Linked DNA regions of Macaca mulatta. The protein of the gene in region 4 purifies or fractionates together with the protein of the main gene of each other region. This does not show direct contact. Links are inferred from orthologs where the notes say so. Each region holds a gene or a part of one and is shown on either strand. Other genes may lie near its edges. The genes, in order: SMARCA4, DDX5, HNRNPUL1, FUS, HNRNPR, ZNF326 and SNRPD1.

What was found.
Region 1: the proteins of FUS (region 4) and SMARCA4 purify together in Homo sapiens (affinity purification with mass spectrometry; 3 studies listed by BioGRID, with this or other methods). This does not show direct contact. The link is inferred for Macaca mulatta from reciprocal best matches to the Homo sapiens genes FUS and SMARCA4.
Region 2: the proteins of FUS (region 4) and DDX5 purify together in Homo sapiens (affinity purification with mass spectrometry; 5 studies listed by BioGRID and IntAct, with this or other methods). This does not show direct contact. The link is inferred for Macaca mulatta from reciprocal best matches to the Homo sapiens genes FUS and DDX5.
Region 3: the proteins of FUS (region 4) and HNRNPUL1 purify together in Homo sapiens (affinity purification with mass spectrometry; 3 studies listed by BioGRID and IntAct, with this or other methods). This does not show direct contact. The link is inferred for Macaca mulatta from reciprocal best matches to the Homo sapiens genes FUS and HNRNPUL1.
Region 5: the proteins of FUS (region 4) and HNRNPR purify together in Homo sapiens (affinity purification with mass spectrometry; 4 studies listed by BioGRID and IntAct, with this or other methods). This does not show direct contact. The link is inferred for Macaca mulatta from reciprocal best matches to the Homo sapiens genes FUS and HNRNPR.
Region 6: the proteins of FUS (region 4) and ZNF326 purify together in Homo sapiens (affinity purification with mass spectrometry; 3 studies listed by BioGRID and IntAct, with this or other methods). This does not show direct contact. The link is inferred for Macaca mulatta from reciprocal best matches to the Homo sapiens genes FUS and ZNF326.
Region 7: the proteins of FUS (region 4) and SNRPD1 purify together in Homo sapiens (affinity purification with mass spectrometry; 3 studies listed by BioGRID and IntAct, with this or other methods). This does not show direct contact. The link is inferred for Macaca mulatta from reciprocal best matches to the Homo sapiens genes FUS and SNRPD1.

Annotation. Positions count from the first base shown.
Region 1 is NC_133424.1:11,727,188-11,730,823, reverse strand, and holds part of SMARCA4 (SWI/SNF-related matrix-associated actin-dependent regulator of chromatin subfamily A member 4), read right to left. Parts: intron 3,408-3,636; coding exon 3,149-3,407; intron 1,755-3,148; coding exon 1,628-1,754; intron 1-1,627. UniProt on the Homo sapiens protein: ATPase involved in transcriptional activation and repression of select genes by chromatin remodeling (alteration of DNA-nucleosome topology).
Region 2 is NC_133421.1:74,403,296-74,407,491, reverse strand, and holds the start of DDX5 (probable ATP-dependent RNA helicase DDX5), read left to right. Parts: upstream 1-1,262; 5' UTR 1,263-1,492; coding exon 1,493-1,536; intron 1,537-1,558; exon of another isoform or gene 1,559-1,821; coding exon of another isoform or gene 1,822-1,865; intron 1,866-2,738; coding exon 2,739-2,904; intron 2,905-3,260; coding exon 3,261-3,357; intron 3,358-3,465; coding exon 3,466-3,599; intron 3,600-3,710; coding exon 3,711-3,776; intron 3,777-4,012; coding exon 4,013-4,154; intron 4,155-4,196. Other genes in the region: CEP95 (centrosomal protein of 95 kDa), read right to left, coding at 471-489. UniProt on the Homo sapiens protein: Involved in the alternative regulation of pre-mRNA splicing; its RNA helicase activity is necessary for increasing tau exon 10 inclusion and occurs in a RBM4-dependent manner. Binds to the tau pre-mRNA in the stem-loop region downstream of exon 10.
Region 3 is NC_133424.1:52,417,657-52,421,292, reverse strand, and holds part of HNRNPUL1 (heterogeneous nuclear ribonucleoprotein U-like protein 1), read right to left. Parts: intron 2,977-3,636; coding exon 2,903-2,976; intron 1,235-2,902; exon of another isoform or gene 1,158-1,234; coding exon 1,018-1,157; exon of another isoform or gene 479-1,017; intron 1-478.
Region 4 is NC_133425.1:29,823,064-29,827,198, reverse strand, and holds the start of FUS (RNA-binding protein FUS), read right to left. Parts: upstream 2,865-4,135; 5' UTR 2,789-2,864; coding exon 2,776-2,788; coding exon of another isoform or gene 2,772-2,775; exon of another isoform or gene 2,386-2,771; intron 617-2,385; coding exon 592-616; intron 502-591; coding exon 332-501; intron 1-331. UniProt on the Homo sapiens protein: DNA/RNA-binding protein that plays a role in various cellular processes such as transcription regulation, RNA splicing, RNA transport, DNA repair and damage response. Binds to ssRNA containing the consensus sequence 5'-AGGUAA-3'.
Region 5 is NC_133406.1:217,695,253-217,699,372, reverse strand, and holds the end of HNRNPR (heterogeneous nuclear ribonucleoprotein R), read right to left. Parts: intron 2,087-4,120; coding exon 1,965-2,086; intron 1,828-1,964; coding exon 1,215-1,827; 3' UTR 547-1,214; downstream 1-546. UniProt on the Homo sapiens protein: Component of ribonucleosomes, which are complexes of at least 20 other different heterogeneous nuclear ribonucleoproteins (hnRNP). hnRNP play an important role in processing of precursor mRNA in the nucleus.
Region 6 is NC_133406.1:150,632,153-150,635,788, forward strand, and holds part of ZNF326 (DBIRD complex subunit ZNF326), read right to left. Parts: intron 2,629-3,636; coding exon 2,593-2,628; exon of another isoform or gene 2,539-2,592; intron 2,499-2,538; coding exon 2,387-2,498; intron 282-2,386; coding exon 1-281. UniProt on the Homo sapiens protein: Core component of the DBIRD complex, a multiprotein complex that acts at the interface between core mRNP particles and RNA polymerase II (RNAPII) and integrates transcript elongation with the regulation of alternative splicing: the DBIRD complex affects local transcript elongation rates and alternative splicing of a large set of exons embedded in (A + T)-rich DNA regions.
Region 7 is NC_133423.1:70,797,154-70,801,437, forward strand, and holds the start of SNRPD1 (small nuclear ribonucleoprotein Sm D1), read right to left. Parts: upstream 2,915-4,284; 5' UTR 2,807-2,914; coding exon 2,793-2,806; intron 1-2,792. UniProt on the Homo sapiens protein: Plays a role in pre-mRNA splicing as a core component of the spliceosomal U1, U2, U4 and U5 small nuclear ribonucleoproteins (snRNPs), the building blocks of the spliceosome.

The DNA.
Region 1 (3,636 bases), on a different chromosome or scaffold from region 4:
AATAGGTGTCCCTGGGCAGGGCGAGCACAGGACAGAAGGTGATCACTTCTGGACACCTAGCCAGTGGGTCCTCTTGGACCTCCAGCTTGCCCCCCTCTACCACACACACAGCTTCTTAGGAGTCATTCAGAAGTACAGCACCCTTGGCTGGGTGTGTGGCTTAACACCAGTAATCTCAACACTTTGGGAGGCCAAGGTGGGAGGACTGCTCAAGCCCAGGAGTTTGAGACCAACCTGGGCAATATGGTGAGACTTCACCTCTACAAAAACTAACCGAAAAATTAACTAGGTGGCCAGGAGCAATGGCTCATGCCTATAATCCCAGCACTTTGGGAGGCCGAGGCAGGTGGATGGCTTGGGCTCAGGAGTTCGAGAGCAGCCTGGGCAACATGGAGAAACCCTGAGTCTACTAAAAACACAAAAACCAGCGTGGTGGCTCACGCCTGTAATCCCAGCACTTTGGGAGGCCAAGGCAGGAGGAACACCTGAGGTCAGGAGTTCGAGACCAGCCTGGCCAACATGGTGAAACACCGTCTCTATCAAAAATACAAAAATTAGCCAGGCGTGGTGGCACGTGCCTGTAATCCCAGCTACTCGGGAGGCTGAGGTGGGAGAATCACTTGAACCTGGAAGGCAGAGGTTGTAGTGAGCCAAGATCATGCCACTGCACTTCAGCCTGGGCTAGAGTGAGACTCTGTCTCAAAAAAAATAAAAAATAAAAAAAAAATAACCCCAGCATGGTGGTGCACACCTGTAATCCCAGCTACTCAGTGGCTGAGACAGGAAAATCACTTGAACCACAGAGCCAGAGGCTGCAGTGGGGCGAGATAGCATCACTGCACTCCAGTCTGGGCAACAGAGTGAAACTCTGTTTCAAAAAAAGGAAAAATTCGCCAGGTGTAATGGTGCACGCTTATACTCCCAGCTACTCAGGAGGCTGAAGTGGGAGGATGACATGAGCCTGGGAGGTCAAGTTTGCAGTGAGCTGTGATCTCTCCACTGCACTCCAGGGTCTCACTAAGAACAGTACCCTCAGAAATAGACCCATGCGGGACAGCACATGGTGGCTCATGCCTGTAATCCCAGCACTTTGGGAGGCCGAGGCAGGCAGATCATTTGAGGTCAGGAGTTTGCGACCAGCCTGGCCAATATGGTGAAACCTTGTCTCTACTAAAAATATAAAAATTACGCATGGTAGCACACACTTGTAATCCCAGCTACTTGAGAGGCTGAGGCAGGAGAACTGCTTGATCCCGGGAAGCGGAGGCTGCAGTGAGCAGAGATTGTGCCACTGCACTCCAGCCTGGGTGACAGAGCAAGACTGTTTCCCAAAAAAAAAAAAAAAAAAAAAAAAAAAGGGAAAGGGAGGAAAAGAAAAGGAAGAAAGAAGCCCTTGCAAGTCTGCTTCAAGAGGCAAGTGCTTTAGGGTAGAGAGGTCCATGTCTCCAGCACTGTGCAGGACGCAAGAGGAAGGTTCTGCAGTGAATGAGTGCCCATGGGTGGCCACAGCTGCTTTTCACAGCCCAGGCAGGTGTAATACCAGCCCAGCAAGCCATACTTGGAGGCTTAACAGAAGTGTTGGTGACAAAGGCCCTTCCTGGAAAGCTGCGGCCGTGCCGGCACCCACCTGCCTCTGAAAGTTCAGCAGCCTGAGGGCCTTGAGCTCAATGGTCGCTTTGGTTCGCAAATCCCCGGCCAGGGACCCGGGAAGGTTTTCAAGTTCCTGAATTCGGTGTGCAATGCGAGCCTGCAGCCTGGGAGCAGAGAAGAGAAGGAGCAAAGGCAGTGAGAGGCTTGCCAGGGCACCCGGTTATAGCTGGAGCTGCAGGGGACCCATCCCTCGAGGAAGGAAGGTGCTGGTCATGAGGCAAGAGATGCCTCAGAAGAGGATGCTGGCCGCAGGGCAGAGCAGAGAGGGAGGCAGCCAGGGACACTCCTCAGGACCGGGCCTTAGGGGGCAGCAAACAAGATTCCTGATAGGCGCGCCCAGTTCATGCCTGTTCAGTGGTGTGAGCCAGGTTCTGGCATCAGGTGGGCCGGGGTTTTCATGCAGCCCTGGCATGGATGAGGCACAGGGCCGTGAGAATCTACTTCACCTGCACACCTCAGCATTCTCATCTCAAAACTGAGGCGACCCCTTGGAGAGACCCTAGAGGTGTGGTCTGAAGATTACAAAGGTTACATAGGAAGGTTATGTGAACTAATCCTCTTAATCAGTCTTTCCGCACATACTCATTGAGCACCAACTGTATGCCAGGGACCATTTTGAGCGCAGGGCCTTACCACTAAACAAGATCAGCAAGTCAAGGAACTCTCAGCCTCATTAGAAAAAACAGTCCATAACAGAGATTTAAAAAAATAAAATAACCACTGCAATTCCAGAGAGTGGCTGGAAGTGACGGGAAGGGCCTCCAGAAGGAGGGAATCCCAGCAATGAGGCCTGAATGAGTAGAAGGAGCCAGCACGGCCTGTGCAAAGTTCCTGGGGCAGGAAAAAGCCTAACTTATTAAATAAATGAAAAGAGGAACAGAGAGAGTGGGGTGGGTGAGGAAGGATGCTGGGCAGGAGTGGACATAAGGCAAAGATTATTGGGCAGATAATTGGAGTTACAGGCAGGTTTTAATCCAGGGAGTAGATCTGACGTCAATCAATCGTGAAAAGAGAACTCAGGCCAGGCGACGTGGCTCACGCCTATAATCCCAGCCCTTTGGGGGGCCAAGGCAGGCAGATCACCTGAGGTCAGGAGTTTGAGACCAGCCTGACCAACATGGAGAAACCCTGTCTCTACTAAAAAAAATATAAAATTAGCCAGGCGCAGTGGCGCATGCCTATAATCCCAGCTACTCAGGAGACTGAGGCAGGAGAATCGCTTGAAACCGGGAGATGGAGGTTGTGGTGAGCTGAGATCGCGCCATTACACTCCAGCGTGGGCAACAAGAGTGAAATTCCATCTCAAAAAAAAAGAGAATTCAGACTGCTGTGTGGGAAACAGACCGCAGCCAGAGTGGGAGCAGGGAGGTGAGGAAGGAGGTGTAGGCCAAGTGGCAGCGGTGGGCACAGGGCACTGTTTCCTAAGGCGGGGGAGAAAGTTGAGTGGCTTCCCCAGGGGGACATATGGGACATATGGGAACTGGGGCCACGCCCTCACCTGTACTCGCGCTCCTGCAGGATCTCCACAGGGTCGAGGCCCCGCGGCTTCTGGATGGGGGTGATGCGGCTCTGCTTCTGGTGCAGCGGCACCATGGGTGCGGGCTGGGCCGGCTGCCCGGGTGACTGGGTCTGGGGTGGCATCACAGGCGAGGCGGCAGGTGGGACGGCAGGGGGCGCAGGGGAAGGGCGACCCGTTGGCTGCGGGGGGATCAGTTTCTGAGGGGTGCTCGTGGGGGCAGCAGCATTCGCCATGGGTCCTGGGAGGAGGCAAGGAGCCAGGGCATCGTGTTGAGCTCTGGGGCCCATCCAGGCTGGAAACAGAAAGCTGCTGGGCTGCTCGAGGCCCTGGGGACAGGCAGACCCCGCCCACCTCCCACCTCTCACCTAGGGGTGTCCCTCACACCCGCCTTGGGCGCCAACCTCCTCCAGATCTCAGCCTCACCCTTGTCCCTCACACCCTTCACTGGGGCCAGCCCCACACCCCTG
Region 2 (4,196 bases), on a different chromosome or scaffold from region 4:
AAGCCCATGACTCTAGAGGGCACTGAAGAGAAAAAAGCACCACTATTCTTCTGTGGCAGGGGCATGAATAAACCTTAAGAGTGCCGTTCCTTTAAAGACCACTACAAAAGGAGGTACGACCTCAGGGCCCATAGTGCAAGGGAGGAGGGCACATGGACAGCGGCTAGACGCCCCACAGAAAGACAAGTCCGAGGACGACCCTTCTGACTGCTCTTTTTGCAGCCAGGACCCGAGCGTCCTACCGGCCTCGCCCCAGTGCCTCTCTCCCACCTCATACTGCTGTTCCACGGCCTCAAAGCGAAGAGGGGGTGAAGCTGAGAGACCCTATCCAGAGAACCCGCCACCGCGACGCAGCGTCTGACAGTAACGAGCCCCGCCGACACCCCAGACCCAGTCCGGGCTAGCCCGAGGCCTCCCTGAAGGTGGACAGTTTCAGTAAACACACACCGCGACCCCAGGGAAACACTCACCAGCCTCCGAGCGGGCCATGTCTCGGAAGCAGGTCGCCGCCGGACTCCGACGCTGCCAGACCGGCGACGGTGTCCTGCAAGGACCGAACGCAGAGCAGACGCTGGGGGGCGGGCGCACGAACTAAAGCGCGGGGAAGGAGGCGTGAAAGAGGGAGGGACGTTAAAAGAACTTCTCGCCGCTGATTGGTCATCAGAGGAGCACTTCCTTTCACAGCACGTGCCACGGAAGCGGTTTGGGAAGTTTAGAGACCATTCTCCGCCGGCCAAAACCCGTCACAGGATTGTCAGACCCGTGGGTCGGACGGTCCAAGTTAGCCGGCAGCTGGGGGCGGGTCCCGGGTGCTGGCAGCGCACTTCCGGTGAGCTATTTCGTTATGTATCCCTCCGCCGACGTCAACGGGGAAGTAGTGCGGCCCCCTGTCACGGTGGGCGGTGGGGGGGTAACGTCACGTGACAACGCCAGGCCCCCGCCTTCCCTCTCATTTGGTTACAGGCGTGAGGGCTCTTTGGAGACGTAAACACCTCCGAGTGGGGAGGGTGGGCGGGCTTGGGCTGGCTGTTTTATCGTCTGGCTGGGCTTGGGAAAGGGCAGGGTGGCTTTCTTGAGGTGTGGAAAGACGAGAAGAAGGTGAGGTCAAGAGAGTGGAGAATGAGGCATTTCAATGGTGGGTGGGCCCTGACCTGAGAGAGCGGCACGGGGTGGGGTGAAAGCGCGGCGATCGCGGAACGCCGGCGGGCGTTGCGGCCTCTGCGCGAGGGGCGGGGCGATTAGGTCATAGAGCGGCTCCCAGCGTGCCTTGCGGCGTAGGAGGAGGTCCAGACTATAAAAGCGGCTGCCGGAAAGCGGCCGGCACCTCATTCATTTCCACCGGTCTCTAGGTGTGCAGCTTTGGCTGGTGTCATCGCCGTCACTCCTCCGCTGCCGCCCCCGCAAGGCTTCGCCGTCGCCGAAGCCATTTCCAGCGACTCGTCGCACCCTTTTCTATCTACTTCGTTCCCCGCCAACCGCAACCATTGACGCTATGTCGGGTTATTCGAGTGACCGAGACCGCGGCCGGGATCGAGGGTGAGTGTGGGAGCCGAGTTGTCAGGGCTGGCGGGTGGGGGATGGGAGGGCGGGTCAGGGTGGCGGCGGGCCGGGGCTTTGCGGCTTGGACTCGGCCTTTCCGGGCTATCTTGGGGCCTCCTTTCCCGAAGGCTTGCGCCATTTTGATATTCACGTAACAGTGAGTGGGAGAGATTTGACGGGATAGTGTCTTCATCCTCGCTTTTTGTGTGGGGGTCGGGGAGCCGTCGGGGCGGCTGCCATTTGGTAGCTGTTGAGGGAATTCAGAGGGAGCGCATTGTTCGGATGAAAGCGCGACGCTTCGAGGCAGACGAAGGAACAGCTGTTAGGTGCGGCCTTTCGGGAGGTGTTTTTGGGGTGGTCGGGCATTCTGTGGGAGCGAAGGGACCACCTCCAAAGCCACTGGTGCTGTGGGGGTAGGAGGGCGGCCGGCATCAGCCATGTGGCTGAGTCGCGGGTATAAAATGCCGGCCTTGGACATGGCGGCGGCGCCTTTGTTACTCCGCCCGGCGGAGGAGCTCAAAATGGCAGCGTCGAGAAAATGTGGCGCAGAGAGAAATGCGAGACAAAGGGGGAAGCGCCGCCCCAGCGGGAACGCCGCCCGGCCGGCTCCGCCCGGGCCGGGACTCCTCCCCCGGTAGTCGCCGGCTCCTCCTTTTCTTTTTTCCTGCGTTATATAATTTTAATTCGTTGATCCGGAGCTCTACCGCGGCGTCCCCCCAGCTCGGTTTGCTAGCAGAAGTGTTTCTAAACCGTTGTTTCGTTTTCGTTGTCTGTGCTGTCTAGATTGTTGACATCAAAGCTCTTTGGCTTGAAAACGGCCATATGAGTAACATCGTTGTGATGCTCTTCGGTTCATGTAGGCTTGTTATCACTGATAATGAATTGCTAGACTGGTGAGAAAGATAATAGTAACCACAAGAAGTGGTGTGTAATACTAAATTCTGGCATCTGGGTGACAAGTTTTCGATATAGTAAATCCCAGGCTGTTTACGTGGCCTAAGTTGTGTGTACTTGGGACTACGGGAAACGTTAACTGTGGCTGTTGAGAGAGAGATTATCACTAAGGACAGTGCTAGGTTTACCTCTCGAAGTCGGCTTTCAGTGATCTTTAGCTTGTGCCAAGGGATGGTAAACAAATCTGTCCAGAAACCTAGGTGTAGCCATTTGAAAATGTAAATAACTTTTTTTCTTCATTCCAGGTTTGGTGCACCTCGATTTGGAGGAAGTAGGGCGGGGCCCTTATCTGGAAAGAAGTTTGGAAACCCTGGGGAGAAACTAGTTAAAAAGAAGTGGAATCTTGATGAGCTGCCCAAGTTTGAGAAGAATTTCTATCAAGAGCACCCTGATTTGGCTAGGCGGACAGCAGTGAGTAAATTCATGTGGCTTCATCAGGCTGTAACTCAATGGAGTCTAGTAAATGAAATTCTGACAGGTGTTTTGCAAATAACTCAATTTTGGTAGAGTTACGTTTTCTGACTTCGTAATTGGGAAAGGTGTGACTCACTTTTGCAAATAGGTGGCTTTGGGAATTTTTTTTTTTTAGATTGAGTATAGCAGAATAAACGGTTTTTTTGTCATATAGGGTTTTCATACGCGGTTCCAGATTAAAATGAAGCTACTTTAAACTAGTTACTAAATTATGAAGTTACGGGCTTGCCAATTACGTATTTAGTTAGGGGTGGTTGTCATGAGCTTTAAGACTGTTATAATTTGTTTTGCAGCAAGAGGTGGAAACATACAGAAGAAGCAAGGAAATTACAGTTAGAGGTCACAACTGCCCGAAGCCAGTTCTAAATTTTTATGAAGCTAATTTCCCTGGTGAGTGCTACTTTTCAGTTCTACCCTACCCCTGTGTTTTTGTTTTCACCTACCTCCTCCTTTCCTTGGCATCACTAATTTTTGTTAAATATCTGTCACTAATTATAGCAAATGTCATGGATGTTATTGCAAGACAGAATTTCACTGAACCCACTGCTATTCAAGCTCAGGGATGGCCAGTTGCTCTAAGTGGATTGGATATGGTTGGAGTGGCACAGACTGGATCTGGGAAAACATTGTCTGTAAGTTTGAGAGAACTCTTGATGTAATATGTGCAAGAAAACGGAATGCTAATTTAAAAACAAGAGTATTTTAATGTGATTTCTGTTTGTCCCCGTCTTCACCCCAAATAGTATTTGCTTCCTGCCATTGTCCACATCAATCATCAGCCATTCCTAGAGAGAGGCGATGGGCCCATTGTAAGTATATATTTTTAACTTTTTATTAGAAGTGTAATATATAGATTTTTAGACTACATAGCAAAAGATGTAATTATTTGTGGTGGTTTTATACAGAGGTTAGCTCACCCTATTCAGCTGGAGTTGCTTTGGGTATTGGACAACACATGAAGAAAGGATCTGCCATCATAACTAATAAGTTAATAGTTTAAAACTAGTATCCAGGTTTGTGCTGAAAGCTGTTTCTCTTTCCTTAGTGTTTGGTGCTGGCACCAACTCGGGAACTGGCCCAACAGGTGCAGCAAGTAGCTGCTGAATATTGTAGAGCATGTCGCTTGAAGTCTACTTGTATCTATGGTGGTGCTCCCAAGGGACCACAAATACGTGATTTGGAGAGAGGTCTGTAATGAAGAGAGTTTTATTTGTTATTGGTGCTAAATA
Region 3 (3,636 bases), on a different chromosome or scaffold from region 4:
AACAGTACCTGTTTTCAGACGGTACTATGAGGATTAATGGAGATAATCCATGTAAAGAGCCTGGTGCTGTATCTTGTGCATGCAAAGAGCTCTATAGTATTAGCTATCATCTGTAAGTATGGATACACAAATAGATAAGAAATTGTTAACACAGAAGTTCCCTCCAGGGAGTAGGATGGAGACTGAGAGGACATGAGAATAACCTGGGCTTTTTTTTGTTTTTAGACAGTCTCACTCTGTCGCCCAGGCTGGAGTGCAGCGGCATGATCTCGGCTCACTGCAACTTCCACCTCTTGGGTTCAAGCAATTCTCTGCCTCAGCCTCCCGAATAGCTAGGATTGCAGGTGCCCACCACCACGCCCGGCTAATTTTTTGTATTTTTAGTAGAGACGGGGTTTCACCATCTTGGCCAGGTTGGTATTGAACTCCTGACCTCGTGATTCACCTGCCTCAGCCTCCCAAAGCGCTGGGATTACAGGCGTAAGCCACCGCACCCGGCGAGAATAACCTGTTTTATCCTGTACTCTTCTGTGCTGTCTAAACTTTTGTTAAACATGAGCATGTATTATTTTCATAAACATAACTTGACATGGAACGGTGCAGAGATCACAGCAGATGCTGGCCTAAGCTGGCAGTTCTTTGTCCTGTTTTCCCTCTGGCCTCCCTTTACTAAGTGACACCTGAGTCTATTCTTTCTAGATCACTTTTCTTCCAAACAACGTATTTTCTCAGTTCTACAAACATGTCATCACTACACTGGTTGACTATACAATACCTGGGTCAACTCTCACCAAGGAAATATCTGCTTGATGAAGCAATGTATGGTTGGCCTGCTTTTCTGATATGATATTTAGCAATGATGTAGTTCTCTTGAGTTCATCACAGTTTTGTCTGCTTGGACACAGTATTGCACGATCCAGTCTCTTTTCCAGTTGTAGCTCTGACCAAGGTGGCTGGTGTCAGGATATTACAATGGACGGACCTCTCTGACCTTCCCCTTCTCTTGTTCCTACTCACCTTCATCTCGAAGCACACACGGCCCCTTCTGACCCCATAGCTGGCACGGGCTCCTGACCACAGGTAGGCAAAGCCCTCAATTGTGAGCGGATAGCCACTACTCCGATCTCGGGCCACTTTGAAGTGGAGGTCGCAGTTATCTGTGAAGGAAAAAGCCCAGTTGGTTCATGTTTTTGTTTTGTTGAGACGGAGTTTCGCTCTTTTTGCCCAGGCTGGAGTGCAATGATGTGATCTTGGCTCACCCCAACCTCTGCCTCCCAGGTTCAAGCGATTCTCTTGCCTCAGCCTCCTGAGTAGCTGGGATTACAGGCATGTACCACCACACCTGACTAATTTTGTATTTTTTAGTAAAGACAGGGTTTCTCCATGTTGGCCAGGCTGGTCTCGAACTCCTGACCTCAGGTGATCTGCCCGCCTCAGCCTCCCAAAATGCTGGGATTACAGGCGTGAGCCACCATGCCCGACCTGGTTGATGTTTTAAAAGTCCTAAGAAACAGGCAGAGGGAAGTTCCCCAAGTGCTGACCAGGAGTACACAAGTGAACACATCTTGGGGGCTTAAGCCATCCTCCCACTGCAGCCTCCTGAGTAGCTGGGACTACAGGGATATGCCACCATGCCCGGGTGATTTTTATATTCTTCGTAGACAGGGTTTTGCCATGTTGCCCAGACTCAAACTAGATTTTAGAATACAAAAAGGTTGATCACCACCACCATATATTCCGCCCTCTGTGCTAATTCTATCAAGTTGGGAACCAGACTTCTGTTTCCAACAGCTATACAGGGATCTGACCCTGATCCACACCTGCCACCCAGGAACCAATGCCCAGGTGCCCCATAGGCTCCTAATTCCTCTCATAGGCCTAGGATTTTCCTACTGTTGCTCTTACCCTTCTCAATATTCAAGCAACCAGTCATGCCTCCAAGAAAGCCTTTCCTGACCATCCCTCCCATGAGGCACTCTCCTTTCTCTGAAGGCTGACCACTGTGGTCGGTACATTTCCATTTCATCAGACACTGCCTCATGAACCACTGCCCCCCAACACTTTTTAAACAATGTTTACCTCTACTCTGGGTAGATTTTGTCTTTGAGAGCTTGCGATATTAGAGACCGTATATATCTTTATCTCTTACAAAAGCATGTAGCCAGTGCTTTATAAACATAAGCTTCTGTAGAAATAGATGAATAAATTGCTGCTTATCTTCTGCTCTGTTGAGAAGTGCAGTGTTCTCAGACCTGACTGGGCTTCTGGGTGCATATAAAAATTTAGATTCACAGGCTCTTCATTAGACTCTGACTAGGAGGTCTGAGGAAAAGGACCTTTATAAGAAATCCTCCAAATGCTCAGATGCGCAGCAAAGGTGAAAGCCACTTATCCAGTGGAAAGAAAGCTGAAGTGGAGGACAGACAGCAGGGTGGGCCAGGTTTGTGCCTCAGAGGACACAGTGACATTGGTTTCACCAAGAACGTGAGCAGCTGATGGAAACGGGAACTAGTTGTCAAAAGAGTTAAGTTTCCCCAGCAGCACTCAGATTCCCTTCCTGATTAGATGACAACCTCTGTGTGTACAGGGCAGTTCAGGGTTTTCCAAATTGCTCCTGTATCCACTGAGGAGTCTCCCTGAAAGTCCTCTGAGGTTATTACGGCAGAATTAACTGAAGGGAAGCTCAGAGAAGTAGAATGACTTGCCCAGGGTCCCACTGCTAGAGTTGGGAGTAGGTCTTCTGCCTCCAAACCAGGACTCTTGCTCCAGAGCTAAGCTGTGTGTCACATGTGGACTAACAATGTCTTTGGACGGTGCCAGGCAGGGATTCTGGTGAAGGTCAAGACACAATTTCCCCATACTGACTATAAGGCAGAATTAGATGGGCACTCCAAAGACTTACAGGTGTCAATAGCAACAAGGGTATCATCAAAGTCATCTTCATCCTCTTCAGCAGGAGGCTGAGGAGAGCGGCCCCTGTGTTAGAAACGGGGGTTAAGTCACACAAGAACAATACATGAGCACAAAGGAAAGAAAATGAATGTTCTGCTATAATCTACAAGTGGCCTCCAGACTGCTTCCTGAATCTCCATTTCTTCCCACAGAAGTGGGCAAAAGAACTCTGGAACCATACATCCTTGCAATGAGAGCAATGACCATCAACTCCTAGGGTGGAGACAGGGATTGGAGAGGGCATGCTCTGCTGAAGGGGGCATCAGAATCATTTAGGGAACTTTTTTGCTCTTTTTTTACACCCTAAGATTCTAATCCATACCCTCTGCATGTTGACAACCACTTCCACACTGATCTCCGTTACTGTTTGGAGGCTGTGGTATCTCAAAAGGGTGCTGTCCAGGAAGGGGCATGTGCAAGAGCCTAGATAAATCCCAATAATTACTATCTATCCATGTACCAGGCTTCTTAAAATCCTACATCTGAGAGAATTTGAGATGACCCATTTTTTTCAGTGTCCTAAATTATAAATGATATTCATTTTCCTACCAAAACACTAAAAAAGGGACTTAACACTGTTGGTTTCTGCTGTACAGGAATGAGGAAGAAGGGTAGAAAGGTAGAGTCTAACTAACACTCAGGGTCCTGCCTGGACAGTCTGGGTGGTCACAGTGCACTGCATGC
Region 4 (4,135 bases):
GGCGTGATGGCTCACACCTGTAATCCCAGCACTTTGGGAGACTGACGCAGGTGGATCACAAGGTCAGGAGTTCTAGACCAGCCTATCGAACATGGTGAAACCCCATCTCTACTAAAAATACAAAAATCAGTAGGGCGTGGTAGCAGGTGCCTGTAATCCCAGCTACTCAGGAGGCTGAGGCAGGGGAATTGTTTGAACCCGGGAGGCGGATGTTGCAGTGAGCTGAGATAGCACCATTGCACTCCAGCCTGGGCAACAGGATGAGACTCCGTCTCCCAAAGAAAAAGAAAAAAAAGAAAAGCAATATTCAGAAAGAGCAGGAAGAGGTGACCTGCTGAGAAAGACTCACTGCTCTGGCTCTGGCCGTAAGAAGAATAGCTGCTCTGGCCATAGCCTGAAGTGTCCGTGGACTGGCTGTAACCGCTGTAACTCTGCTGTCCGTAGGGCTGACTGCTCTGCTGGGAATAGCCCTGCCCAGGCTGGGTGGGGTAGGCCCCATAGCTAGATGAAAGGAAAACCAGCGTGATCAGAAAACACAGCTTGACCACCCTTCCCCTCTACAAACTCTGGAAGCCCAAAAACAGCACTCACCTTTGGGTTGCTTGTTGGGTATAATCTGCAAAAAAAAAAAAAATACAATCATATTATCTTCAGCCGCCACTCTGAAACAGTTGAATTAAAGCTAAATTCCTTAACTCAAGCACTGATGAATAAATAGGACCACACAGGCCAGGTGCGGTGGCTCACGCCTATAATCCCAGCACTTTGGGAGGCCGAGGTGGATGGATCACTTGGGGTCAGGAATTCCAACCAACATGAAGCCCCATCGCTAATAAAAATACAAAAAATTAGCCGGGTATGGTGGCGCACGCCTGTAATCCCAGCTATTTGGGAGGCTGAAGCAGAAGAATCGCTTGAACCCGTGAGACAGAGGTTGCAGATCGCGCCACTGCACTCCAGCGTGGGCGACAGAGCGAGACTCCGTCTCAAAAAAAAAAAAAAAAAAAAAAAAAGCATCACGTTTCAATAAAGGGCATAAAATTCCCCCATTGAGACACTGGTTGAGAAGAGTAGCAAACTGGCCTATCAGCCAAGTGTTCTTACAAAAAAGAAAAAGTGAAGAAAATGCAAGTTTCTACAGAGTCCCAGAAGCCTTAACCGTTGGAAAAACCAAGGTCTTGGTGGACAGCCACAACTTTCTGCAAGACCAATTCATGTCAGTGATTGCTCTAAAACATCGCGCATTCGCTTCATCCACTCTATGACAAAGCCATTATTGCCAGGAGTCAAAACAGACTAACTCGCTCCCAAAGTCGTAGAGCTACCAAGTAGCACAGGTTTGAATTCGAGCAGTGTTCAGATTGTGGCCTCTACTCTCTCAGCCCAGACCCACAGAAGAATGTCTCAAAAAAGGCCATTCTTCACTCTTTGACCAATTCCGGAGAAGTAGTGGGCTTTTTAGTGCAAAGCCAGAGAATCAAGAGCCCTTGGACCCCAAATGACAGAGATCATCCAAGTGCTCGCCTTAAGAGGCCAAAGTCAACAGGTACTCGAGTCCCCAGCCGTGGGGCTCCAGATGGTTCTGTTTTCTCATCTACCCTGCCTTCCCCCGGGCGAACCAAAAGCAACGAAAGCCCTTTTGAAACGCCCCACTTTAAATACACGAACAAGATCAACTCATCCTCCCAGCGCAGGAAACGCGGCGCTTCCCCCGCAGGAAAAGGGAAAGGACCAGGAGAGGGTGTGGCCTCGACGGCTGTTATTCTCCGTCCCAATCTCAGAAAAAAGAAATTTAGACCAGGAGCGGAAGCTCACGCCTGTAATCCCGACACTTCGGGAGGCCGAGAAGGGCGGATCACCTGAGGCCAGCAATTCGAGACGGGCCTGACCAACATGGTGAAACCCCGTCTTTACTAAAAAACACAAAGATTAGCCGGGCTGTGGTGGCAGGCGCCTGTAATCCCAACTACTAAGGAGGCTGAGGCAGGAGAATCACTTGAACCCAGGAGGCGGACATTGCAGCAAGCTGAGATCGCACCACTGCACTCCAGCCTGGGCGACAGAGGGAGATCTTGACTCAAAAAAAAAAAAAAAAATGGGGCGGGAAAAACTCTCGGGCCAGGTCACCGAGTCCGTTGGTGGATCCACGACCACCTCCTCCAAACCGTTAAGCCGGAGCGCGGCCCAGATACCGAGCCTCCGCCCCCAGCCGCGTGGCAACCGAGGCGGGAATGGAGCTGTCCCGCCCCTTCGCGAAAGACCAGAGGAACAAGGCTCACACCGGACGCGCGCCGCCAAGTCTTCCGCGAAGGGTCTCGCGACAAAAAGCTGAACCGACACGAGGCGGGGAAGGGGTACCCGCACCGCGAAGGGGGAGGGGCCCGCAGAGCGCGTGCGCACCGCGAGTGCCCGGATGCAGCACTGCGACAAAGCGGGCCTGAGCGCGGGGCCGGGAGTTGGGGGAGGCGAGGCCACGGAAACCGGGCATTTTCCACCCTCACCTGATGCTTCAAGCCCCTAAGAAGCGTCCCTCCCAACGACCACCCCAAGCAAACGGACTGCGAAGAGAAGACTTGCCGCCCCGCGCGCGAGGGCCAGAGGAGCGAAACAAAATGGCGACACCAGCCTCCTCCAGTTACCCCTCTCCGCGGTTTCCCGCCACAGGGGCGCGAAAGAATCCCACACAGGATCGCCACCCCGGTCCCACCGAAAATGAAAAGCCTAGGTGGGAGGCCTCGGCCCGGTACGCCGCCGCCGCCTCGCGCCCTTACCTACCGTTTGAGGCCATGTCGGCGCACGCGCGCACAGCCAAGCAAGCAACAAGATTCCAACAACGCAGAGCACCGACGCCTGGAGGACTGAGCAGCCCCGCCTCCTGCGTCGAAGCTTAAGTAGGTCCCGCCGCCTACGCACCGCGCAGGCGCGCACCAAACGCGGAAGAGCAGGGGGAGGCAGGAAAGCGCTCCGCCCCCTTCCTAGCGTAGGTAGAGGTTCCGAGCATGCAGATGGGAAACGAGTTAACTAGAATCATGCAAATACTATACATAATGATATTTTTGGGGGAAGAACCCCTCTCTCCTCGGCAGGACTAGCCCACGATCTAACTCCACCCCCATGAAGGCACAGTGGTACGGCCTGAGTGCCCGCTGGGGGCGGGGCGGGGCGGGGCCGGGCGGCTGGGGACGAAACTGGAGTCACCGCCGGGAGTCGCGGGGTGGAACCGACATTCCTGTGGCCGGGCCTCTTCGCTGGGCCCCGCTTTCACCCAGGACGGCGAGCTCCTGCCCTCCGCCCTCTTGCCGCTGTATGGGGCGCCTTGTCCCCGCGGCTCCAGCCTCCCTCGTCGTCAGCACACTGGCCCTGCGCCCTGGTGTTGACTTCGTCGTCTTTCGGGGTTGCCTTGCTTTTCGGCCTTTCTGGGGTTCGGGAATTATGACGTTTGACCTGAAAGACAGCAGGGATTTCGGCCGGGACCCCTGAGCGCCGAGCTGGTCCAGCACTGGGCTCTCACCCGGACCCTCGCGGCTTTGCCCCTGGGGAGCCGCGGGGCGGAGCAGTCCAGGCCATCCTTGGGACAAGAGAGGGTTGGCCTCAGATGAAGGGCCCCCCAGCCTTTGCTCAGGGACCTCCTTTTTATTTTTCTGAAGCCCTACCAGGGAACCAGTGGCGATCCCAGAAATAAAACGTGTACAAGGCTTAAGTGGTTTCAAAATGCACAGATAATTTCCTTCTCATCAGTCTTACGAAGGAGGTAAACATATCTCCGTTTTCTACATAAGAAAAGTGAGACTCAGAGACCCAAGTAATTGTGCCTGATTACAGGGCAGCTAAGAGGAGTCGTGATTCGAATCCAGGTCTTGTAACTGCAAAACCTCTTTTTGGTGGCATGAATGCTAGAGTGTTTGGTTGCCTTTCCACTTCCTGTGAGAGCAAAAGCAGAAAGAAAAATTCAAATTAACTTGCAACTTGCACTTTCATCAGCCTTGCCTGGAGAAGGCAATTTGAAACTACTGAACAAAGCAAGACAAAAGACGTTAATTCCTGATACATACGCATGCAGGTTTTCCTTCCCAACTTAACTTTCAGCGGGATTCCGGAAGGTCTTTTGAGGGTTGGACCTTTCCTTCTAGAGAAA
Region 5 (4,120 bases), on a different chromosome or scaffold from region 4:
ATTTACATAGTAATAGGAAATTATATTCCTAAACCAGTAACTGAAATGGTAGTCACAATCACGTTTACTAAAACTAAAGTCCGCAGTGCAATTGACGCCACAGTACTAACAGTTTTCCCTGTATGTACATTCACTTATCCAGCAAATAAGGTCTTCAGTCACAAATTATCCCTTATAAAGAATGTGGGTCAAAATAGATTGCAGTCTGCTTTCCCAGCCACATTTTATTTGTTTTAACACAAATTATCCAATGCCTGCAAGAATGCTCAAAAGTCTATGAACCTGTTTTTTTTTAAAAATAAAAGATAAAATTTCAAAATTAGAAGAGACTATGAGAGAACACCAATCAATGAAGTGCTAATTGGAATAAATACTTGAATTTAGACTAATCCTCAGTCTAATATCCACAATACATGTTGGAATAGACAAGAAATTTTGCATGAATTTGATCACTCACATAGGCAGTTATACTTTGAAAACAATATTCCTTGCAAGGATTACGAATAAAATAATGTTTTAGGACACAATTGAATTTGAAATAGGTAATGTTTTGAATAGATTTTTTAGTTTTATTGAAATCTTACATGAACAAGAAATTGGAAATACAATCACATCAAAGAACAAATTGTCACGGCTTTTGACGTTTAAGCCAAACAAATTTTGTAGGGCAGATTTCAAAAAGGTGTGAAGTTATAACAATTTAAAAACACAGTTAACCTACTTCTAGGAATGCAAAACATACAATCATAGGTTATTTTCAATACAAGAAAACTTAAATTTGTTTGCTTTAATTTCTTAAAACTACTAAGACAAAGCACTAGCTTGTATTTTTATTTACAGCATACTCCATACTCCTATGTAATCTATCCCAAATCCAAAAAAATGAAACTGTCCAAAACCAAAGGTTCTGCAAAATCATGATTTAACAGTGTGCCCAGCTTGTTTTGAAGCTAAAATGAAGCCTGAAACCATAAAAGCATTGTAATCCCCAGAATAAGGGAACTCTGCAAGCCCAATAATGTCCAAGAGCATTTATGAAAAGAGGAAAAATAAAAAGACTTGAGTATATACACAATAGTGATTTCTTCAGCCCAATACAAATGGCAGCAAAATGCTACTTAAAGATGAAACAGTTAAGCCAATTTTTTTTTTTGAAGAATGTAGATCTAGAGCCAATCGTATCTTGCCAGTATCATTTTCAAGCCCTTACTTGTCTACTTCCACTGTTGCCCATAAGTATCCTGATAAAATTCCTGGTTGTCATTATTGTAACCATAGTTACCAGAATAGTCACCACCTTGCTGAAGCGGCTGCTGAGCGATGGGTTGGGAACCCCAGTTCTGTTGGTTGTTGGTCTGACGACGCTTGGAATCAGGTTGGTTGTACCCATCTGCCTTTCTCTTGCCTCCTACATTGCCCCCACGATTGCCCCGAGATCCACGGGAACCACGGCCTCTCTGCTGTTGAGCAGGACCCCCTCTGCCACCCCTAGAGCCTCTTGGTGGTCCCAAAGGTGCCCCCCTCTGTGAATAGCCAGCTCTACCTCTTGGAGGTGGTGCTCCCCTCCCCCTTGGTGGTGGTGGAGCACCTCGCCCTCCCCTTCCTCCTCCTCTTCCTCTTACTGCATAGCCATCATCATAGCCGTAGTAGGGATCTTCATAGCCTCCACGATAGTCGTGATAATCATAACCATAGTAATCATCATAGTAATCTTCATAGCCATAGTAATCTGGAGGGTAGCCATATCCACCTCTCCCCCCACCACGACCCCGACCTCTAATTGGAGGTGGCATTCGAGGAGGAGGGTGGTAGTAATAATCTTCATACCTAGCAAAGGAGGGAAGGGAGAAAAGAAAAAACAAATCAGTTTGCTTCAAGACTCTGATTGTGTTTTATTAATCCAATCTCCATTATCAAATGGAGATTCCTTGTCCAAAGACATATCTACTAAAAGGTAGACTCACGCAGTGCTTCTGGAGGCCTGTCTAGCAGCTTGGCGCTCTTTCCTTTTCTTGTCTGGTGGCTTGGCTAAGACTATTTCAATTTCTTCCCCTTCTATTTCTTTGCCATTCATTTCATCCATAGCCTATAAAAAATTGAAAAATTAATTTATTTTATGATATAAAACTATATGTTTTATATAGTGTGCATGCTATCATACTTGACTCATTTAATATACTTAATAATTTACTGCACAATTATTTTAAATGGCCAAAAGGTGAATCTAGCCAGAAAGTTAAACACAAACACAAAGAAAATACGTTTCCCTAGACCTTATCTTTTTATATGTAAATGACATTTAGAACAAAACCTACCTCCTGATACTGTATTTTAAAAGGTAAAAGGGCTGCCACCTATTGCTGCTCCTTAATTCCAAATAACTAACTCCTTAAAAGATAAGCCATACCTAAGAAGCAAATCCACACCAAAGAAGCAAATCCATACCAGGGAAAAATGCCAATATTAATACGAACCAAAGATTAACTTTTCAGGATTAGAATTTTTAAATAAACATGTAGCATACAACATACAGGTCTTACACTGTTCTTATACAAAAATTTCAAGGATCTGAAGCACAAATGAGGTTACAGAGTGAGATTATCTGTAAAATTCAAGATACCAACACAAAAAAACCTAGGTTTCCCTCACAATGCTTAACTCGAAATGTATTTTGCTTGAACAGTTTAAAGTACAGAGCCAGAAAAGGCCTGGACTAATGAAGACTCAAGCAATTACGTAGAAAGCAGTAATCAAACATTCCATGTTCTAGCCCTTTGTTCATGTTGTTCCACCCAACAACCTCTGCCATACATCAAAAGGTTCAGGTACTCAGTAACAAAATGTCACCTCCTCATATTTTATTTTTTGTTTCCCTATACCTTTCTCCCCACTCTGGGCACACATAAAAAAATGTTCTATTTATAACGAGCTATTAGTGATTTATAAGTATCTAGACAAAAATGAAACTAGTCCTCAAGATTGCAATTTTCCCTGTACTGCTTCAGTAAAAGCAACTAAACAAGTTTACAAAAGCTTCCTGGCATAAATTAAAAAATGAAACATCTACTCTCTGCCCCGACCATCCTGGTGACTCCCAGTTCCTGGACTAGATATTTTATAATTTAATAGGCTTCCTTGGCAAACCATCCTATAAATATTTTCCATCAGGACAACCAGTTATTTAAAACCAGTTGAGTCAGGAGGAATATTTGGAAAGCATAAAATTATTAGTTATCTGCATTCTATACCAGTAAAAATTTCAGACGCCACACATTAACAGATAAGAGTGTAACAGTATAACAGATAAGATTCCATACTTCAAAGCCAGATTATTACTGAGTTTGTGATCTTGGACAAGTTATGAATTTTATGAACAATACTGCCTCATTAATTAGCTATCATCAATGAGCAAGCCGATTAACTATAAACGAGTCAGAGATTCTAGAAAGCCTGTTTTAAAAGCAGCACCCTGGGCAAAAAACAAAACCAAAAAATGCTCAAATTAGAGGTGGTAGTATCCCACCAACCAAACATGCCAAAAAAGAACCATGCCTGTGTCACTAAGCATTCTGGATCTATCTTCCCAGTAACATAAAAAAGATTTTAGTAGTGTTTTGTCTTGCTTCCCATCACCTCAAGGAAGGAGAGATGAACAAGAAAAAGAAACTGAAAATTTCACCCATTAAAGATAGTCCGAACCCATTGTCAATAGAAAGCAGGTTTTGTGTTCCAAATACCATATGAAAATACTTTCTTCATACTTATTATCATCAAAGACTAAATCAACTATTATACACAAGAGATATCTCTAACAATTACTGAAATCAGTAAAACATAGTGAATGCTATTTTAACTCTAAAATGATTAAATAAAGGTAAAACTAATCATACCCTCATCACAATACATCTACTCAAATACTGTATGAGTCATGTACACCACTCAGTTTCCTTCATAGGTACACAAACTGAGGTAAACTAAGTAGTTATAATATATTCATTACCTATTTAGTGTTTACAGCAGCTAATTTTTATACCTTGTAATACTTCCAAGGCATCATGCTATCAAATCTTACAAAACAATAGAGATTAAAAATAACTTGCCTAAGATCACAAATTCAGTA
Region 6 (3,636 bases), on a different chromosome or scaffold from region 4:
GGGGTGAAGAAAAACTGCTGTAGGAAGAGTAATTCTCTCTTCCTCTGTCCTCCATAAACCCAGGCCTCAATTTTGAACGGGAGTAAGGTGCTTCCCAGCTAGACCCGCCCTGGTTTCTACCTCCGAAAGAGTCAAGGCTATTCCGGTAGGAGCTCTCAAATCGACCACCATAACTACCTCCGAAGCGGCTTTGTTCGGGTTCATTAAAACCATAGCCAGATCTGTACAGATCTCGCCCACCCAGAGAAGACCTGGAGTCGTAAGACTCATAAGGTCCAAACCTGGAAAAGTTGCACAGTGAGGGAAAAAACAAAAGTAAGCTTACTAATGTTAGACAATTCAAAAGACAAATTATCAGATGACATTTATCAACTAAAATTCATTTATACCATACTGGTTTGCACAGTTCTACTTTTGTTCACACTTGATTAGGGCTGGGCAGTTCAACGTGAGACCAGATAGAAAGCTATCTGAGTCAGATTCTAAACATGAATTGAGTTTAGTAAAACTTAGCTTAAAAATCTGCTTCTTAGCAGCTTTTCTATTTTATGAAAAAGAAAGGATTTGTCTGTCATTATTTAAGCCCAGCCCTAGTCTTGGAAAAGGTCATTTGCTAAAGTTCACAAACTATTCAAACGTTTTTGAATCTATCTCTATTATTAAAAATTACAAAACATTTACAACATTTTGGCTTTCAATAAGGACACAAACTGAAGTCTACTTAGATGTAGGTTATTTGTGACACAGAGAGATCCTTTTGCACTCCCAATAATCTATATCACAAACTGCTTCATTGTGTCTGTAGGAGTCAAAATTTGGGGAATTATCTCTGGTTATAAAAATTTGACAATCTGCCAAACTTCAGCCAAGGTCAATTAATCAATCCTCAATCACTTTTTACTTGTAGACTAGAAAATCTAACAAATCTAGAAGGATAAACAGATAAAACATAAAAGTAAAAGATCACCAACATATACCCTCTGCATATGAATTTTCAAGGCAGATGAAAAAGAATACATCTTATAATATATTCAATTATTTGAAAAATTATATCCTTCAGGAAATTATCACATAAAACTATCCTTAAAAAGGGAGCACACAGTCTCCTCGAGGTTTTAAGAGAGTTAACAGAAGAAATAAATCATCTTCCTTCTCACAAACCCAAAGCATGGATTACAAAAGTTGCTTGATATCTTACAACACAATTTTATAAAGACCCACAATTACACATGAGATAAAACAATAACATCTACAGAAATAGCTTATGCACATTACATTCACAATATAAAAGGGCAATAACTGACATATTAAAACATTAAGTGTTACATTACTTCAATTATTTACAGATCACTAAATAGAAGGTAGTATTTACTTCTGAATCCTAGTAACCATATAAAAATTATTCCTATTTCCAACTACATTTTTCAAAACATCTATCACATAAGCAAAATAGTTGCAACTGTTCAGTTTCTTAATTTTTCTTTACTATAAATCATAGTGGCACACTGGAAGCAGAAAGAAGGAAAGTAAGCATCATTCAGTCCATCATTAAGGAATCCGGATCCTTCAATTTATGAAGAAGGATGACTGTTTCACATGTCTACTAACTAGTTTTACTTATATTCAGCAGGAACCTTTGTGCCTCAAAAAGCAGACACCCCTTCTCCTGAAATATGGTCAACCTTAAAGCTTGTAGTTGTTTAAGTAGGTTTAAGCTTTATACAGTAGTAACAGTATAAATACAATCTAGACTAGTAAAAGGTATAGTATTCATGGCTTTAATACAATGCTCCTAGCCTAGAGCACAAATGCTTTGGTGTAAGTAGTACCTGCCAATAAATAACCTGAACATAATTTTAAAAATATTTATATTATTGCAATATGCTCTTCCTTTAAAATTAGAATTAAAGGAATATGTCTTGAATGTTTCTTAGAAAGCAAATGTTAGACTGTTTCAGTAAAATCCATTCTAGTTAGACTGCTTTGCTAATTTACATAGCACCCCACATTAGAAAAGATTTTTTTTAATTATTAAGAAAAAGCTTCATAAATAATATTTTCAATAACATTTTTATATCATTTTTCAGGATATTTTGATTGACAAGAAGTTAGAAGTAAAAGAATTTTTAAAAAGTTCACTGCTAAAAACAGAGTATCTTACTCTATTGTATTGACATGATATAGTTATCTGGTGTTTTCCTAAAATAATGTCTGCCAGTAATCCTGATTTAAATTTTATCCCATTAGTTAACACCTTTAAACATTTAAGGTGATGATTCAATAGCAAACAGTGAAGTTCAAGTATCATAACATGCCTAAAGAATACTTAATATATCCAGAATCTTATAGTTGTCTAATTATTTGGCCAAATGATTAAGCAATTTACCTGCTACCCCCACCACCACCACTGTGATTGTCCATGCCATATGACTGGTTTAGGTAGGACTCCATGGATCTCTGACCCCCATAGGATCCATGGCCATAGTCACGATCCATCCCTATAAGAGTTTAAAAAGAAAAAAGTTATATGATGCTCACCTTTACTGGCACTCAAAAGAAGAATTTTTAGATAAATATCCTTGAATGTCAGACCTCCGTAAGATCCAGGGCCATAATCACGATCCATTCCTAAAAGAGAGTCAATAAGAAATTGTCAGTAAAATACACCATTTTCTTCAGGGATCTTTGCACAAAACACAAGATATTCCTATCTATCTCCTGAGATAATAATTTACTATTAACATTTAAACTAAATTCACACTAAATGCTGAAGGGAAAAACACAAAGATGAGAAGCTACTAAATCAAATTTGCTTAAAAAAAAAGCCTGATATTTCAAAGAAAAACATATTTTCAACTAAAAGTTCTACATTAGAATTATTTTCTTTTTTGATTTTCTTTTGAGACTGGTTATGAGACTGGCTAATTTTTGTATTTTTGATAGAGATGGGCTTTCACCGTGTTGCCCAGGCTGGTTTTGAGCTCCTGGGCTCAAACAATCCACCCGCCTTGGCCTCCCAAAGTGCTGGGATTACAGGCATGAGTCACTGCACCTGGCCACAGAATTATTTTCAATTTAACCAATATTTATTTGACTAGGGGACTACTATAAGGCCTTGTATTAAGTACTATAGCATATATAATTAATGATACATAATTCCTATTCTTAAGAGAAGTCAGCATTTAATAATGTCAAAGGGGAAATTTTTGTTCTATATGACAGCAGTAGACTATACTTGTTTTATGCATCTAACTCCTCTCTAAATGTCTGAAAACTCAGAAGCAGCCACGTTTCCAATTAGCCTTGTTCACAGTAATTGAAATAGACATTTTTAAAAAGTAAAATCACAGAGTGAGACCAATCTATGGCACTGTGCCTATAAATGATGACTCAACAAACGAATGCAAATTTCTAGCAATGTGAACACTAAAAAAAAAAAAAAAAAAAACTAAGACACAATAAGCATATTGTCTATTTTATTACACTGCAATTCTGCCTATATACCAACCTCTGATATGAAAAATAAATACAACAAAAGAGGTAACAAAATCAATTTAGGATGACTATAAAAATCAGAAAGTAAAACAAACATTTAGAATTTGTTTTCTATAAAGTACTTTAAAAATCCCTCATTAC
Region 7 (4,284 bases), on a different chromosome or scaffold from region 4:
TGGGATAAAAAGGGCCTGAACCTCAATGGTGGTGACCAGAACGAAAGGAGGCTACTATGGGCAGGACAAATACACAATTATCCCTCCCTAACTGAACCCAGGAACCAAATGGATTCAACTTATTTTCAGACGAATCTTTCAGTATCTGAATTCTTTCTACTTAGTGAAACTTAGATATCAAATAGTCAGATAACACGGTGTCCCTCAGTATCAAAACACACTATCTGAACCCAAAAAACAAACAGGAAAATGTGGGACACTTTTATGCAGTAGGTAAAACTGGCAGTGTATCAAATGTCAAGGACATCAGTAGAGAAAAAGTCAAGCTCACCTCCCAGGTTTTTGGTTAGGGTGACAGTGAGAATAAGGATGACAACTACCAACTGATATACAGAAATAAGTCTACTGAAAACGCAAACCAGTTAGTCAAACAATCATTTTCTGGAGGAAAAATACATTCTCTGGTAAGAAAAAAATTTTCTTTCTATATTTGACCTAAGACACAAAACAGGATTCAGTCCAGGTATTAAAAATTACTGGAAAATTGCCATAACATGCAATATATTTAAAGGGAACAAATGAAATCCAAGGTGTATTACATAAAATTGAACTATGAGTAGATTAAGATTCAGATTAGCAGGTATGGAGAAATTTCTTTTTTTTTTTTTTTTTTTTTTTTTTTGAGACGGAGTCTTGCTCTGAAGCCCAGGCTGGAGTGCAGTGGCCGGATCTCAGCTCACTGCAAGCTCCGCCTCCCAGGTTCACGCCATTCTCCTGCCTCAGCCTCCGGAGTAGCTGGGACTACAGGCGCCCGCCACCTCGCCCGGCTAGTTTTTTGTATTTTTAGTAGAAACGGGGTTTCACCGCGTTAGCCAGGATGGTCTCGATCTCCTGACCTCGTGATCCGCCCGTCTCGGCCTCCCAAAGTGCTGGGATTACAGGCTTGAGCCACCGCGCCCGGCTGGTATGGAGAAATTTCAAAAAATGTTGTAATTTTCTTTTTTGAGACAGAGTCTCGCTCTGTTGCCCAGGCTGGAGCACAGTGGTGTGACGTCGGCTCACTACAACCTCCCGGGATCAAGCGCCTCTCTTACCTCAGCCTCCTGAGTAGCTGGGATTACAGGCGCCCGGCTAATTTTTGTATTTTTTCGAAAGACGGGGTTTCACCACGTTGGCCAGGCAGGTCCTGAACTCCTGACTTCAGGCGATCCGCCTGCCTCAGCTTCCCAAAGTGCTGGGATTACAGGCGTGAGCCACCGCGTCCAGCCTAAAAAATGCACTTTAAATTCTATGACTTCCTATCCAAAATTATAGTTCAAATAAAAATACAACAAAAATTAATCTTAATTGTCTTTTGTACCAACTCCTCCCTGAATTTTTTATTTTTTATTTTTTTATTTTTGCAACGGAGTCTCGCTCTGTTGCCCAGGCTGGAGCGTAGTGGCCAATCTCAGCTCACTGCAACCTCTGCCTCCTGGGTTCAAGCGATTCTCCTGCCTTAGCCTCCTCAGTAGCTGGGATTACAAGCGCGCGCCACCACGCCCGGCCAATTTTTGTAATTTTAGTAGAGACGGGGTTTCACCATGTTGGTCAGGCTGGTCTCGAACTCCTGACCTAGTGATCTGCCCGCCTTGACATCCCAAAGTGCTGGGATTATAGGCGTGAGCCACTGCGCCTGGCCTCCTCCCTGAATATTGAAGGCTTTTATGTGTTATTTAAAACGTTTCAAACAAACGTTATTTCAGACGTTATCTACTTGTCTGTCATCCCCCTAACTAGAAAGCTCCAACAAGGATCTGCCTTTTAAAAAATACTATTACCAGCGCCCAGTAGGTAACAGGTGCCCAATAACTATTTAGCGGATAATGACAATCCTTGACTCAACAGGAAAGAAACAAGCTAAATATTTATAATCGATGGCTTAGTTATTAGAAACGTCTGCCTCTGTTCCAGGCTCAGTCTCAAGGAAAAAGACCAAAACCAAATCTACTCGCAGGTAGTTTGGAATTAGTCTCCAGAAGACTCACCTAAGTGACAGGGTCTATTTCTCGCGAAAGAAATAAAACAGAATAACTATATATCATCTGGGTAATCAGCCACAATTACGTTGTGATAATTTCTGCCCTATATTGGGAGATTTTCCTAAATAAAAAGCTTACCTTAACAGGAAAGAGGTAGAATAATCAATCATAAGTCTAAGGAGAATCAAAAGATAAACTTAAAAATCGGCCGGGCGCAGTGGCTCACACCGGTAATCTCAGCCCTTTGGGAGGGCAAGGCAGGCAGAACGCTTTAGCCCAGGAGTTCGAGACCAGCCTGGTCAACAAAGTGAGACACCGTCTTATTTAAAACAAAAACAAAAACAAAAACTTGTGAAGCCAGAAGTCCTTCTCTGATTTAAAACAGTTTGCAAACAGGTTTGTTTCCAGATAAGCTCATACAGCTTTCTAAGTACTCTTAAGTAGGGCTGGAGCTCCACTCAAAAAGAAAATCAGTAACTGTAAGGGCGAGATGTCTCCCAGGCGGCGCTGTACCTTGAAAGTCTCTAAGTCACTAGGCGGGAAGAAAAGGCTCGGCCTTTATACCAGTATCTTGGAAGACACGCGGGATTCGCGAGCGACCCAGGCGGAAGCCCAGGCCCGAGCACGAGCTGCGGGCGCAGTAAGGCCGGCCGTTAGCAGGCCGCGCACACGCGGCTTTCCCGCCTCCTGCAAATGGGAGAGCCCAGCCTTCCGGACTCCGGGCCAAGCCCTCCCTCCACAGCCCCCGGAGCTGCTTGGTCACTCCCTCACCTCACGAGCTTCATCCTAGCGGCGCCGTCACCCTTCGGGTCCGAGAGCGCACAGAATCCAACAACCGAATACTGACCGACTGCAGTATGAATGGCCGGAAGCGCCTACTCCAGGGACTCCGGTCGTAAAGGGCGCGCGGAGCACAGCAGACGCACGGCGGAAACGCCGAGGCTGCGCTGGGCCGCACTCTCTTCCGGTCGCGAGGAGCGCGACTGCGGCCCCTGGCGGCTGGAGGTTGCCTTGCCACGACTGAGGGTGTTGAGGGCTGGTCTAAGAGGAAAAGTGTCCCACAAGAGAGGGAGATTCGAAGAGATTAAATCCAATTAATAGGACTGTCGCACTTTGGGAGGCCGAAGCGGGGGTATCACCTGAGGTCAGGAGTTCAAGACCAGCCTGGCCAATAGGGTGAAACCCGCGTCTGTACTAAAAATACAAAAAATTAGCCGGATGTGGTGGCGGGCGCCTGTTATCCCAGCTACTCGGGAGGCTGAGGCAGGAGAATCGCTTGAACCCGGGAGGCAGAGGTTGCAGTAAGCCGAGATCGCACCACTACACTCCTGCCTGGGCAACAAGAGCGAAACTCCGTCGCGCGCGCGCGCGCGCACACACACACACGTACTGTCACCATCACGTTTCTGAATAGCAGGGCACCGTGAGTGCAGCACCTAATATAAATTCCTCACTGAACGAAAATAAGTTCTTAGAGAAGCCCAAAGGATTATGCTAATTCTGTTCCAACGCCAGGAACCTTAGCATTACTTAATGTACCTGAAGCAATTCACACAATGGGCCGGGCGCTGTGGCTGACGCCTGTAATTCCAGCACTTTGGGAGTCCGAGGCGGGCAGATAGCGAGGTCGAGAAATCAAGACCGTGCTGGCCAACATGGTGAAACCCTGTCTCTACTAAAAATACAAAAATTAGCTGGGCGTGGTGGCACACGCCTGTAGTCCCAGTTACTCGGGAGGCTGAGGCAGGAGAATCGCTTGAACCCAGGAGGCGGAGGTTGCGGTGAGCCGAGATCGCGCCACTGCACTCCAGCCTGGCAACAGAGCGAGACTCCGTCTCAAAAAATAATAAAAATAAAAAAATAAAATCACACAATGTAGCGGATTATTTTCACTTTAAGTTCCGATCTATAAGACAAACTTTTCAATCTTCATCTTTCACAACATCTCCTCAAAATTTTTTATTGTTTTTCTGAGACAGAGTCTCCTTCTGTCGCCCAGGCTGGAGTGCAGTAGCACGATCTTGGCTCACTGCAACCCTTGCCTCCCCGGTTCAAGCGATTCTCGTGCCTCAGCCTCTCCAGTAACTGAGATTACAGGGGGGAATCACCACGCCCCGCTAATTATTGTCTTTTTAGTAGAGACAGGGTTTCCCCATGTTGGCCAGGATGACCTGAACTCCTGACCTCAAGTGATCTGCCTCTCTAGGCCTCCCAAAGTGCAAAGTGCTAGGATTACAGGTGTGAACTTCATCAAGATTTAACA